Linked DNA regions of Oreochromis niloticus. The protein of the gene in region 1 interacts with the protein of each later gene in a pairwise test. Links are inferred from orthologs where the notes say so. Each region holds a gene or a part of one and is shown in the gene's direction. Other genes may lie near its edges.

Region 1 (7,378 bases):
AGCCAGCCTCAAGGGAACTGCTGCTTGCTCGCCACTGGCCCATTGGGGCATTGATGTTGTTTCCAGTAATGTGGCTGAAATAGAGTCTTAGAATCAATATTTTCACATTTAAAATATCAAAACAGATGAAAAATGTAACTTTTTTTAGCCTTGCGCTTACATTTCCAACACTAAAGGTTGCTGCTTAGTCTCTTGTCATGATTTCCATGCACAGATTCAAATGTTGCTGAACTCTCATGGAGTAATACATCACTGTTTTGATTTATGTTTTCATATTTTATCTTTGTATATTTCAGGGATGTTGTTGGCCATCCTGGAGAAGTGTGGCGCTATCCCCCAGATCAACTCTGCTGATTTCTCTGTGGGGGAGGGAACAGTTGCTGCTGGCTACCAAAACTTCATCATCTGCATTGAGATGTTCTTTGCTGCTATTGCTTTGCGCCATGCTTTTACTTACAAGGTCTACATGGACAAAAGGCTGGATTCATATGGTAAGCGGCATGTTTATGTGTGTGCCTTGATGTCTGGTTGTAGTAGAGAGTGAAATGTTCAAAGAGCAACTAACAGAGTATTATAATATTGTAATTATGTGATTAACAGAGGGTTCTTGATGAAGTCTTTCAAAGCTAATCTGACCTCACTCTTTGTGTCCCTCCCTCTTTACTTTGATTCCTATCTTTAACAATCTGTTTATTTTGAGTTGTTCTCTTTTCATCTGCCCTCTTTTCTATTCTTTTATTTTCATCTTGACCTTCTTGTGTTTCTTATCTCTTTCTCTCCTTTTCCTCCTCCTTCACTCTGCGGCACTCAAGGCTCATTTCCTATCTATGGACAGTACGGTACGTCTGATGTTAGCTATGTTTTGTCTGTATGTGACTCAGTTGTTTATGTTAAAATGGAATTTGATGTCTTTTTTTTCTCTTTGATTGTGGTTTAAAAGGAAATTACATTTCCATCGCTTGTGTTATGTGTTTCAGTTCAGTGTTTCATTTGCAGCATTGTATAGAAAATGCAGATATTGATGTTTCCATTAGATTTTGAAATTATGGATATTTCGCTGTGTTGTTTTGTGTTCTTTCATTTATTTTGCTGTCAGTTAATTCCGCCCTTCGTCATTTTGCCTTCCCACTTTGTTCAGTCTGTGGTCCTACCCTTGTCGTAAACCCTTGCCTTGATAATAAATATGCCAGATGGAGTGATAATATTTATCTTAATATATTTTATATTCTTTGCAACATTGCTTAGGTTTATTTGGACAATCCAGCTGGCAGTTGGGATGGAAACATAGTTTCTTTCTTTTTTCGCTCATGTATCGCTTCCATTCAGTGTCTCGTTCTTAATATTTACCACCTTCCCATCACACCTCCAGGTCGCTGTGCCCCAATGAAGAGCATTTCCAGCAGCCTGAAGGAGACGATGAATCCAGGAGACATGGTCCAGGACGCCATCCATAACTTCTCCCCAGCTTATCAGCAGTACACCCAGCAGTCCACATTAGAGCGAAGTGGAGGGCCACCACTCTCCCGCAGCCACAGTAACATCAGCACCCGCGGGGACAACGAAAAGACTCTTTTACTCAGCTCTGATGATGAGTTCTGAGACTCAAACACACACTCGGAAGCTAACCCTTACTCCTGTAGCCCTTCTCAAGTTTTTAGCAGCCATGGAAGACGAATCTGATCTTTTTTTCCGACCTCAACGTGGAAGTTCAGGCTGTGGTTCTGGTTATTTCACATTTAGATAACAGTGAAAGATCAGATTTATGTCATGGTTGCCAGATTGCTGAAACCGAGACAGGGCAGAGTCCTTTTCTAAGGAAAAAGGAAATGATTGCTACAGCACGGAAATGAGGAGCGTGAAAAGAATGTAGATATTACAAATAAAGTGAGGGAGGAGTGAGGTTGATTCTTTAACTGGCCAAGCTGTTATTTGTGTTGTTTTAGTTGTGATTTTAGGCCATCGCTGAAAGAAATGCGATTTTTGTATTCACCCGTGGAAAATGGATTCGTACAGATAACTGTGCCTGCATTATACCATCTTAATCCTGCACTAATGACACTATGGCATTAAAAATGTTAGATATGAGCTGGAGAAAGTAAGTGCCATCTTCTTCTGAGACACATGGCCTCTTTATTCTTTACGCTTTACACTGATTCATAATCAATATTCCTCCTCACCTCTCTGCTAGTGCTCTCACTCTTTGTAACTATATATTGCCAAATAGCACCCTGTGCTCCAAATAACAAGACACTGTCTTAAAGTTTAGGATTGTTTTTTAATTTTTTTTCAAGTAGCCTTTGAATTGCAGGGGTTATTTTTAATATATGACTTCAATGACAAATAAATATTTTATCTAAATGTTGTTTGAGCTCGAAGGTTTATGTTATTGTTATCCTAGAAATTTTATGAGTTTACTGAGGATGTCATCATTATGTAATGTAATGGCATTCCAGCTGTTGGCCAGACTCTCTATTGTTTGGGGAGAAGCACAGTAACAGCTGTAGGAGAGATTTTTAGCGTAGGCAGGAGGACTGACGGAAGGACAGCGCCCACACAGATTACAGATTACTGATGGAGCAACACTTTCCTGCACAGTCGGCCCAGCTGTGATGCACCCTGGATTGTGATCTCATAATTAATGGCATTACATGCTGCACAGATTGGCGCTGCCTCTGCTGGTGTCATTTGTAATGGCATCACTACGACAGCAGCGGCAAATATGTCACGTTGTCAGTCGCTACAGATAGAGAATGCGAAGATATGTTGGTGAAAACAAGGCTTTAAATCAGATTGAAATCACATTTGTACTTGAATATATTGAGCATTTTAAACTTGGTGGTCAGTACAGGGACATGAAAAGTGACTAAACACCTTCAGGCTGGCCAGAAATCCTCTGGTTGGCATTATGTTTTCTTTTTCCAAAAGATGGCTGGAACTGTTTGAGTTATGCATTCATATTTTATCCAGTTATGTTTAATATGCGTTTACACAGTGGCTGGTATATAACTCGCATGTGGTTTGTGGTTCTAAATGTTTTAATGGCAGAGCACAGCTGTATAAAAGCTGAGATTCTGTTTATGTTGAGTGTATATCCATTTAACAGACTGGAGGTAGTGACTGCGGGTCGACACATAGTACATCACCGCCCAACCCTTTGCGAGAAAAGGAGTCAACCCAGCCAAAGTGATGTGTGTGTTTTCAGTTTATGTCCTAATGAGAAAATCATATTCGGTCAAGAGAAGGTGGGTGAAAGTGTTTGGATTCCATCTGTGACCCACATCCCATCCAGCCGCCACCCGCCTCCCACCCCAGTGACCGCATCACTTGTGTATCTTTCTACTAAACCTGCATTGCTTCAGTTAAAATCAAGGTCGAGTGTGTTTGTTCTGAGCGTTTCATACTTGAGCATTTTCTTCAAAACACTATCAGATCATAATTTTGCAAAGCTTATTGTATTTTAATCCAGAAAATACTATATCCAAATGGAAGGAACGCTGTAAATAAAGTCAAACTTAGTGCTGCAAAACCTTTATGACGACGACAATGGGACGCCATTGCTTGGTATAGTGCTCTGTTTGAATATATTTGTGTTTTGATGGTTTCATTTCATATATACTCCTGTTTTATTTTTAATTTTTTTGTTGTATGATATTTTTTTTGTTTGTATATTGGTAATATCACATGTTTTGATGCTATATTGATTTCTGTTGATGTTTCAAAAAGAAATAAAAGATGAATAGTAAAATAAAAAGACATTTCTGGCAGTTTTTGCAGGCTTGTAGACTCCATCATTCTCATTAGCAAAATATTAGAACCCCTGCAAACACCATTGACAGAGTCTATTGTTCAAGTAATGTTTTGGACAGTATATGCTTTTTACTCTACTTTTGTTATTTAGTAGTTATCCCCCCTCCCTCTCTTTCTCAGACCATTCTCTGTAAACCCTAGAGACGGTTATGTGGGAAAATCGTAATATTTCACTATTTTCTGATATACTCAGATTAGCCCGACTGGAACCAACAACCATGTCATCTTCAAAGCCACTTAAATCGCCTTAAATTCTAAAGCTCGGTTTGTAGTTCAGCGGGTCATCTTGATGGCCTGTTTGCTTTAAGGAGCAGCTGACCACGTGAACCGGATCAAATGGCCGGTGAGTGTATTGCATTAAGTTTCCAAAGCTGTTTAATAAATGGCCAAGTAAGTAAACAGACGTACGCGTGCCATGAGTATGTCACTCACAGTATAGGGGCGGGGCTTATCCAGCCGCCAGCCAGTCACAGCAGCTTCCGGTTCTGTGTTAAGCTAACAACAACACAGAACCATCTCCTGCGTCTTATTACTATTGCAACCCTAACGACGCTTGTCACAAAGGAAATATGGCGGGTTGTGCTACTTAACTTTTCAGCAGGCATTTACGAAGACGACATTTTAATTTATTTTTGATTTAGTCAGTTGTCCAAGCTAATTCACGGTCTCGCCGAGTGAAGCTTCTGGAGTTTTCAAGCAAGGCCAGAAAAAGTATCTGTAAGCAAAAGCCTTACAACCTGTAGAAGATAAGGTCCATTAGGAAAACTTACTAAGAGCCCTCAAAATGAGAGGTTCTTACGGAGACAGAGACCGAGACCGTGGTCGTGACAGAGGGTAAGAGGACTGCTAAGTTAGCTTGTCAGCTAATGCTAGTTAGTTATCATAAAACCCTATTATATGTTTTTATTGTGACTAGCAGCGGTTGCTTTGACCTTACAGTTCGTTGTCATATTCCAGCAATCCCCGATTCGGATCAAGCAGAGGCGGACCACCCCCGGGTAAGAAGTTTCGGAATCCCGGGGAACGCTTACGAAAGAAGAGATGGGACCTGAATGAGCTTCCCAAATTTGAGAAAAACTTCTATAATGAAAATTCCGAAGTGCAGCGAATGAGCCAGGTATTATGTCCGTCATGTCACAGTCTGACCTTCAGCTGCACCTGTTGTGTTGTTTAGTCTGTGTTCACTTGTTGCTTTTCTTCTCTTTGTTCTCAGTATGATGTTGAGGAGTATCGCAGAAAGAAAGAAATCACAGTCCGAGGCTCAGGCTGCCCAAAACCTGTCACCAGCTTCCATCATGCACAGTTTCCTCGTAAGCACATGCACTCATGGATACACCTGCAGCACTGTGGACAGTTTGCAGACATACATAACCAGAAACTTTGTCGTCCCTTATTTTTGCTTCTTCCAACTAGAATATGTAATGGATGTACTGGTGCAGCAAAACTTCAAGGAACCAACAGCCATTCAGGCTCAAGGTTTCCCTTTGGCACTCAGTGGGAGAGACATGGTGGGCATTGCTCAGACGGGCTCTGGAAAGACTTTATCGGTGAGATGTGTCTTCCTCTGCACCTGTACGCATCACACAGATGAATTTCACAGGTGAAAGATTAACCAGTCTTCCATATTTTTCTTCTTTCAGTATCTCCTGCCTGCAATTGTGCACATCAATCATCAGCCCTACTTGGAGCGTGGAGATGGACCCATTGTACGTGAAGAGAAAAGGAGAGCACTAATCACTGAGTAGTCTGCCTTGGAGTAACCTAATTGTATTAGAGACCTCAAAGCACAACATAAAACTAACAAACACTAAAGAGAGGATTGATGTGGCTTTATATATGTGCTGTGCAGTGCTTGGTGTTGGCCCCCACAAGAGAACTAGCTCAGCAGGTCCAGCAGGTGGCATATGACTATGGAAAGTCATCACGCATCAAAAGCACTTGTGTGTACGGCGGTGCTCCCAAGGGACCTCAAATACGAGACTTGGAGAGAGGTGAAGACTACTACAGCATGCAATCATACAGTTGTGTCCTTTTGGGAACCACTTTCGATTAGTCTGTAACTTATTTATTTTCAGTTTAACTGATTATATTACACACTGAAACATGCTAACTTTGTCTCGCTCAGGTGTTGAAATCTGCATCGCCACTCCGGGTCGTCTCATTGACTTCCTGGAAGCTGGAAAGACCAACCTGCGGCGCTGCACATACCTAGTTCTGGATGAGGCTGACCGCATGCTGGACATGGGTTTCGAACCACAGATACGCAAAATTGTGGATCAGATCAGGGTAAACGCTAATACTCAAAGGCTATATCTGTCTTTTTGTTTTTTTCTTAGGTTTTTTTGTTTTCTGCTGCTTACTCTTGTGTTTTAAGTCAAAGCTGTTTTAGTGTACAGTGTTTTACTTGGTGGGTTCTTTTGCCCAGCCGGACAGACAGACTCTGATGTGGAGCGCTACCTGGCCTAAAGAAGTTCGCCAACTGGCAGAGGACTTCCTGAAGGACTATGTCCAGATCAATGTTGGAGCTCTGGAGCTCAGCGCTAACCACAACATCCTTCAAATTGTTGATGTTTGCGTGGAGAGCGAAAAGGACCAAAAGTAAGAGTTTGGTGGTCTGGTCACATAGGAATTATTTTCTCACATTAAGAATAACAGCATCTGCTGTGTTTGGTGTGTGCGTTTACATCCCTTTAATTATAATGCATTTGCTTCTTTTGCTTTTCTCAGGCTTATCCAGCTGATGGAAGAGATTATGGCTGAGAAGGAAAACAAGACCATCATCTTCGTTGAGACCAAGAAACGGTGTGATGACCTGACACGTAGGATGAGACGTGACGGGTGAGTATACCAACTCATCCCAGCATCTGTTTTAACTGCAGACTGTAATAAAGAATGGACACCATGATGTCACCCAGTGGTATGGTCTATGCTGAAGTTGGGCAGTTTAACACTGGAGTGTGTATGGACTGGAGATATTGGAGCTTTTTAAGCTATTCCACAGCCTTAGCTAAGCACAGTCATTTAGGAGCAATAATTGAAGACTTGTCAAAATGGTCCACTGTAAATATTGAATTGTACTTTTGCTTGAATTGCCCATCACTGGTTTGTAGTACATCAGATGAATGGTTGTAGAGAAAATCAAAAGAGCAGACACACACAGGCACACGCTGTTAAAGTTGCTGATTTGTCTTCTAGGTGGCCAGCGATGTGTATTCATGGTGACAAGAGTCAGCCAGAGAGAGACTGGGTATTAGCAGGTACAATAAACACACTCACTGACATTTCATTGTATGGCAGGTCTTTGCACTGTTGTGTTGTGCTGCCCTGAACCATGTGTTGGCTCTGCTTGCATAATTACACAAACTGAACTGAATTAAATTGAATAACTGATCCTAATCACCTTTTATTCGTCTCATGTTGCAGAGTTTCGGAGTGGCAAAGCCCCCATCCTCATTGCTACTGACGTCGCCTCACGTGGGCTTGGTATGTCATGTGTGCTCAAGTATAAAGCAAGTAATTTCCTAAGTATAGCCCCACACACATGCAGTATATTTCCCTCTTCAGTATTTAG
Region 2 (7,432 bases), about 830 kb from region 1:
GAGGCATTTCAGAATTTAGTATTTAGTGTTGGTATTATTTAACTTTTGTTTTGTGGGTTTTTTTCTTGTTTTTTTCTTGCACCACCTAATTTGGTTGTGATACTGTGACAGTGACTCACTGACAATAAAGTCTCTTATGTATTATATAATTGTCCCTTTTAGTTTTATTTAAAATCTTCTCTCAGATGTAACTGTTTTCTGTTTTGAAGACCGCAACAAAACGAATGTCAAAAACTGACCACAGGGTGATATATCGAAAGAAATCGTCTTAAATCCATTTCTGAGGCTGGGACAGACAGTGCGTTGCATGTGGATTCATGAGCATGAGCGGTCAGAAATACCACCAAAGACTAAGGCACTGCAAACTGACAGAGCATAAGAGAGATTTTTATACAGACACCTTTTGGAAAGAAGTTATTTCTGCAACACATCGCTCTAGAGATTGACTTTGGAGCTGTACAAAGCATAGCTGTTTCCACGGTAAAATGCTGACACCTATTGGTCAAAGTAGGTAGTGCAGCGGGTTCAGTACAGTGAGTAGAAAGAGAGAATTTGCTACTCTCCGGGCCATTTATAAAATAAGCACAACTTATGAAGTCCAGTATTTTTAATTACAATGAGCTGATGTGATATGCTGTGGCAGCTAAACCACTTTTGCTCTGTTCTGACGTATTTTCATATGATCATTACGCACCACTTTGATGCAGTAATTATGTGGATGCCCAAATATTAAAAAAAAAAAAGCCGCCATAACTAAAGTTGAACTGGGGGAAAAACTCACTAAAAATAATTATTACAGGGATTTTTAACAGTAGGTACAAAAAAGCGTGATTTAAGCGAGCGTGGTTGCTATGCGTCCCCAGGTTCTATTTGCATTGCATCTTTTGATATAGTTCAGACACATTTCACTCGACGTGTTGTGCAAAGCTACAAGGGATTTCTGCAAATTTCTGCAAATTTCTGCAAAAGTAAGACACCTTTCTGCTCAAGACTTCTTGCAGCCTTACAAGAGTTCAACTCCCACCGTCACGAAGGAAAGCGACCCAGCATCCATCATCCGTCATGGACAAGGTGAGATTTTATGACCGTTTTCAATATAGTTTGGAAGTTTTGAAAGAGTTCACTTTGCCAACAGGGCAACGTGAAAATATAGAAGACATATATGTGAATAAAAGGCATTAAAAACTCCCAATTTAGGCCTACACACGTGGGAGTTATGCTTGCATGTTAGACTGTTGCACTCTAGCTGTAAACAGGGTAAACTGTGCATCATTTAAACTTGCATGTTACCTATAATGTTTTCTTTTGCGTGTATTAAATGATCTTGTGGCAGACATGTCACCAAAGTTTGCAGCTGAGATAAAAAATGTTCAGTTTTTGCTAATAAGTAGAGTATCCTACATCTGTGATTAACTGAAATGCATAATGATCACCAGGGGGGGTGCATGTTGCTGTTTGGGGGGATAAAAAAAGTAAACACTGAGACTTTATTCACTGTAGAAAAGCTAATCCCTAAAATGTTTATTTACAAATTAGCAAGCAATGATGTTCAGCATCATCTGAATTCTCAAAATCATTTAAACCACACATGACCGAGCTTAGCCAGTTACAAAGGTATTTTGTGCATCTGCATTGTTCAAAAACGGCAATAAGCAGCAATGATTATAACAGAAATTAGAGTTTAATACAACATGGACTTTGGTGTTTGTTAACTTATGTAAATTATTATTTGAAATGTCATTTGGGGGTATGCAGCAGTGAAGCTCTAACATGATGAGCCCATAAGTTGACAGTCTTTTATTACACTGACCTTGATGCATTGTCCTGGTTTTAGTTCTTATGATTTTCTGTGAACATGTTGGATATTTTTTGTCGTTACACTCACTGTGGACAAGTTATTCAACCATGCAAGTGGTTTAAGTAGTTTTTGGACATATTAAAGGGTTTGTTTGTTTTTAAATGTTTCATGAACTACTAACTGATGTTTGCATTACTGTCATTTTTGTGTATACCTGCAGCTTACTGTGCCCGTTCACCTCAAAGACCATAATTATCGGATGAAAAACACTGCATGCCGGGCCCGTGATGCAAAGAAACCCAGAGCCTGCAGCAAACAACCATGCTGCAGCAAGGACCAGGTTGGATGTGTAAAATTTCATTAACAGAACCATTTAAGGATTTTGGAGTTTGGACTTCCATGTCGTTCATCAAATTTAAATTTTTGTCTTGTTTGAAAAAAATGAGGTCATTAATAACTACTGACATTCCCTTGTGTGCTTCTGACCTTTCTCCAGGTTATTAATTCAACCCTGAGGCCCCGGCGCTCTGATAGAATAGCCAGTCAGCCCCAGAAAAGGAAGCGAAGCCCAGCATCCAGTTCTTCCCGACCTTTGGTTAAACCTCGAAAGAACTCGGTGCCTCCCTCTGCTATCTCACATGACGACCTGCCAGTGGCAAAAAAAATGCCCCCCAGACCCGAGCCATGCAGTACCGACCACCAGCCAACCAGCTCCGGTGACAGCCCTTTAAAAATCCACAATCTCTCAGTGGAAGATTATCAGCGACTCTACCATGAGGTGGTAGATAGCATGCTGACGTACGTTTGTCTCCAAATCTCCTGTCACTTTTTAAAATCGCCAGCTCTAAAATGGTTACAGTAGGTTTTTGACCACATGCATCATTTTGATTGAATTTCTTTTTGCAGGTACAAGAATGGCCGCCCTCGTCCCTACAGTTTAGAGCTGGGGAGACGCATTAAGAAAAAGCTGTGGGAGAGACTGAATCGTCCTGTGGTGCAGACATCAACTAACGAGGATGGACTTGAACACATTGACATGGTGTATGGGCAAAAAGTCAAACTCCCAAACTATGATTTTGACATTTCGAGTTAGCCACATCCTCAACATCCACCGAGCAAAAGAGGAAAGGAAAACTGAATGTAGAGCAGCAGGAGCACTGCTACAAGACATACAATCAAAAACTGTGAAACACACAAATCAACTGTAGATAAAATTACTGTAAATATATGACAAATGTTTTTGTAAATAGTTCAGATGTGACTTTAATGATTAAAATGTAATTTCTGCACAAGTTTGTGTGTCTGTATATTATATTCCACTGTGTGTTTGGACAACTGTTTAAGGTCACTCTCTGAGAACATGCACTGCACAGTACTACAAAAATGTGATGCTGGATGACATCTGCATTTCCATTCAATAATTGTCTCTTCAAACTATTTCATGACTGCCTGACTGATTTTAAAAACGCATCAACCATAATCAGGACACAGCCACAGATTTTTGGATCACATGATGAAAACTGTAAACCTCCATAGGACTTTTATTTTGAAAAATCACTATTTATATTATTATTTATCTGAATCAAAATGGCTAATTTGAAGTCCTTGTTGACCATAATATATATTCAGGCACTGTGAACAAAACATAACATCCAACTTTAATTCACTAGCACGTTTGTCTTTTTAAAGACAACACATTACTTAACTTCCTTGAATAAAGTGCAGAATGCTAGAGATTTATGTCATTCTGTTTGCAGACTGTCTTATACAAAAAGAAACTTCTTTTCATCAGATGTGACTTTTATGCAGCCTTCATTTATTCAGGTAAAAAGGTGTCACTGACATTAAAAATGTCGTTTTCAAACGAGGTCTGGCCTGGAGGGCTGCAGAAGTTATAAAAAATCACAGTCCTTTAAAGAACTGTGATGTTCTTCAAGTGGCCGAAAAGGACTGGATGGATGGATATAATGATTCATAGAGCTGCTTTCAAATTGGATTTATTTAACATATAACCCATTTTTTAAACTCTGTTTACTGCAGCCTATTTAACAATATAAGCAACTATATTAGACAAAAAAACAAACATAAAAAGATATCTAGACATAAAAAAAAACCACGCAAAAAGTGATTGGCATACGCAACCCAACACATACGACCACTTTTTGGCACACCAGTGCAGTGAGGTTGTAATTGCTACTTGTAACCATCGGGGGGCAGTATCGCTAGAGTGCAGTCTTGGATCCTGTAACAAGAATCACCCTTCGTTATCGTTAGAGCCACATTGCGCCATACAATATGAAAATAATAAAGTCCTAGTATATGTACAAATACTATAAAGTGAAGTTTTAAATAATACCGTTTGTCCAGTTAGTTTTATTTTTCTTTCACTGCTCGCTTGTTTTGATGACGTCAAAATCGCCTTTCCGCTTTCATTCGCGGCAGTAAACATGGCGGACGGTTAGCGAAGCCACGGTGTGATTTTCAATTCTGGGGGGTTTGGATTTCTCTTTAAGGGCGTACGCAAAACGCGTTGCATTGCTTTTGGCACACGGAGGTGTGCGTGTGTGTAGGGCGTTGTGCCCTGTGAGTTTTTACTGAATAAAAGGTACAGTGCATTTTTCCCTCCTGTGCTGCTTTCGTTGCTAACGCGGGCCTAGCTATAAGTGCAAGCTAACGTTAGCCGCTAACCTGCCAAGCAAATGCTTTTGACCGGCATGATTTAACATATATATATATATATATATATATGTCTGTGTGTTTGTGTTACAAAAGTGTGATTGGCTCTGTGGTGTTTTTCAGCTCATTCAATAGTTTAATTGTGCAAAAGCGTAACACATAGATGTTGGGGGAGCTTAGATTGAGTCGTGCGTTGATTGTCAACTTTCTTATCTTCTTTGCTAATAATAGCTAACAGTAAAGTTCTTTAAGGTGTGTATTGCAGACAGTTTGGTTAAATTGCCTTGATATCGAAGTTAGAATTAACAAAAAGGAGACTGCAGTTTGTCAAAAATGAATTCAAACATTGTTTTAAGTGTCATTGATTCATAAATATGAGCTAAAAGTGTTATTTTACGTTGTGACAAATTCCGACTTGTTTTTGAACGTACCATAAAATAACAACGTATGGTTTCCTTTACATTTATCTTCTCTTCTGTTTTGCTGTATTACATGGCAGCGTGAAGCAGACCCACCGTCACAATGGGGCGACGTTCAACCTCCTCCACCAAGAGTGGGAAGTTTATGAATCCCACCGACCAGGCCAGTAAGTGCTGATAACAAACTGGCGCTAATTCAATCATGAATTGATCTCCTGAATGCTCAGTTGCTGATTAGATATAAAAATGGTCATTTCTTTCTCCCCCCAACCCCCACTCCTACAGGAAAGGAGGCCAGAAAAAGGGAGTTAAAAAAGGTTAGAACCATTCACTTTTAAAAGAAGATAATTCTAAATATGCAGGATAATAATACTGTGATAATATGATGGTAACATCATTTTCTTTTGGAAATATTAGAACAAGAAGCAGAGGATGATGGTGAGAGCAGCAGTCCTGAAGATGAAGGATCCCAGACAGATCATCAGAGACATGGAGAAGCTGGATGAGATGGGTGAGATGACAGGGCTGAGTTTATGGAGTTTACATGTTAGAAATATATTTAGTTGTAGCTATTTAGTTGTATGTTTGCCACTAGTAGAGGACCTGAGCTTGTGGAACACGTGTATCAGTAGAGTTATACTATATATAATTCATGTGTGTATTTAAGGATTTCAGGCCTTTAGGTAACAGCAGAAAATCACAGTCAAAATCTGATTTCTACAATTCATTTGCTGCTTTTCTAATGAAAATAATTACTTTGTTTCTGAACAGAGTTCAACCCAGTTCAGCAGCCGTTGCTGAATGAGAAGGTGTTGCGGGACAAGAGGAAGAAGTTGCGTGAGACATTTGAGCGCATTGTTCGTCTGTACGAAAGAGAGAATCCCGAAACCTACAAAGAGCTACGCAAACTTGAACTGGACTATGAGACCAAAAGAGGGCAGCTGTCTCTTTATTTTGACTCAGTCAAGGTGTGTTGAATCTACATGACAGTTTGGGGGGGCGGGGTTCCTCAGTTTATAATAAATCTTGCATGAATTGATGCAGGGATGAGAGGTATATTGTATGCACATTTTCCTACAGGCTTGTGTACGCCTTGTTGGCCTGGAAAAAAATCTTAAAAGTCAGGATTATTAAAATTTTGGGGAGACACCAAAACCCATTACTCGTCTTTTATTTGTCTTGAGCTTGAGTGCTTCAGATGTGTGCTCCATTACCTTATTTATCCTTTGTTGTGCTCTCTGTTTACTCTGTTGTGTGACGTTTCCTCTTTTTCAGAATGCAGAGTTGGTGGAGGTTGACAGTATCCCTCTACCAGACATGCCTCATGCCCCATCCAGTATCCACATCCAGGACATCCCATTACCAGGGGCTCAGCCTCCCTCCATATTGAAGAAGAGCTCCACTTTTGGGTAAGACTCATTCTATGAGTAGTAAAAGTTTCAGCAGTTAAACTCCGTATGTGACATTTAGAATTTTAATGTGCAGTTGAGTTAATTCTGTTTTTATGCATGTCTTAGTAAAGGACCATCGTCCTCCGGACCAGCATTGGCAACAGTGCCAGGTGTCCCACGCTTACCTCCAGGGAAGAAGCCCCCTGGGCCTCCACCTGGCCCCCCACCTCCTCAGGTCCTGGCACTGTATGGACCTGCTCGACGCGGTTACGGCACAGATGCAGGTGAGATACAGCCAGTTTCCCTCTGATAATCAAATGATTTTTTTTCACCTATAATTTAACATTTCTTCTTGTTACACTATTTCTCCTTTGAACAGAGCCTTCCATTCCTGGATTTGAAAAGGACTCTGCAATGGATTTGGGGAGAGATCGGGACAGCGGGAGTGAGAGCGACAGAGATCAGGACGATATTGATGACGACAGCGACTCTGAAGACATCAGTGAAGAAGAGAGAGATGAAGGGGGAGATGGCGAACAGAGAATGCGCTTGGACAGGCAGGACGATGAGAGAGAACGAGAAGAAGATAGAGACAGAAGTGAAAGACATGGTGGTGAGTGTTTCTGACTGCTTCAACACATTTAAGCCTCAGCTCACGTCTTTGTTGCCTTTATTTATCTCTTGATCTTACAACTGTTTGTATTCTGTTGTATTTCTGAATTTGTTATTGTTTGACTACTGCAGGTCGTAGCGTACGTTTCGCAGATATGCCTGCAGAGGCACCCCGTGACGGAAAAAAGAAGAAGAAGAGGGTTGTGAAGAAGACCAAGGCCATTACACCTCTGCAAGCCATGATGTTAAGGATGGCAGGTACTGTCAATGCTAAGCACTTACTAAGCTTGTGCTCCTCTGTTTCTTTTCTTTGTATGGAGATATGCTATGGCATTTTTATTTATTTATTTTTTGTCTTCAGGTCAGTCAGTTCCTGAAGAAGAGGAAGAAGAAGAGGTAGAGGAAGAATACACAGATGAATCAGACAGCTCTGACATAGAGGACAGAGGCCCTCCAGGGGACAACCAGTCCCATCTCATGGCCAATCAGCGACTGCCCCCTCCAGCTGGGACCACGGGACAGCAAGGGCCTCCACA

What was found. The genes of interacting proteins can lie anywhere in the genome.
Region 2: the proteins of probable ATP-dependent RNA helicase DDX17 (region 1) and wbp11 interact in a two-hybrid assay, tested with the Homo sapiens proteins (3 studies listed by BioGRID and IntAct). The link is inferred for Oreochromis niloticus from reciprocal best matches to the Homo sapiens genes DDX17 and WBP11.

The regions. Positions count from the first base shown.
Region 1 is NC_031969.2:9,880,987-9,888,364, forward strand, and holds the start of probable ATP-dependent RNA helicase DDX17, read left to right. Parts: upstream 1-4,265; 5' UTR 4,266-4,591; coding exon 4,592-4,641; intron 4,642-4,764; coding exon 4,765-4,924; intron 4,925-5,020; coding exon 5,021-5,117; intron 5,118-5,220; coding exon 5,221-5,354; intron 5,355-5,447; coding exon 5,448-5,513; intron 5,514-5,656; coding exon 5,657-5,798; intron 5,799-5,932; coding exon 5,933-6,093; intron 6,094-6,232; coding exon 6,233-6,405; intron 6,406-6,534; coding exon 6,535-6,645; intron 6,646-7,002; coding exon 7,003-7,064; intron 7,065-7,230; coding exon 7,231-7,290; intron 7,291-7,378. Other genes in the region: transmembrane protein 184B, read left to right, coding at 297-491, 813-839, 1,370-1,599. UniProt on the Homo sapiens protein: As an RNA helicase, unwinds RNA and alters RNA structures through ATP binding and hydrolysis.
Region 2 is NC_031969.2:9,051,878-9,059,309, reverse strand, and holds the start of wbp11 (WW domain-binding protein 11), read left to right. Parts: upstream 1-4,214; 5' UTR 4,215-4,403; intron 4,404-4,973; 5' UTR 4,974-4,996; coding exon 4,997-5,060; intron 5,061-5,178; coding exon 5,179-5,210; intron 5,211-5,310; coding exon 5,311-5,404; intron 5,405-5,664; coding exon 5,665-5,861; intron 5,862-6,168; coding exon 6,169-6,302; intron 6,303-6,410; coding exon 6,411-6,568; intron 6,569-6,663; coding exon 6,664-6,897; intron 6,898-7,028; coding exon 7,029-7,154; intron 7,155-7,257; coding exon 7,258-7,432. Other genes in the region: uncharacterized protein C22orf31, read left to right, coding at 1,063-1,071, 2,019-2,138, 2,295-2,596, 2,705-2,891. UniProt on the Homo sapiens protein: Activates pre-mRNA splicing. May inhibit PP1 phosphatase activity.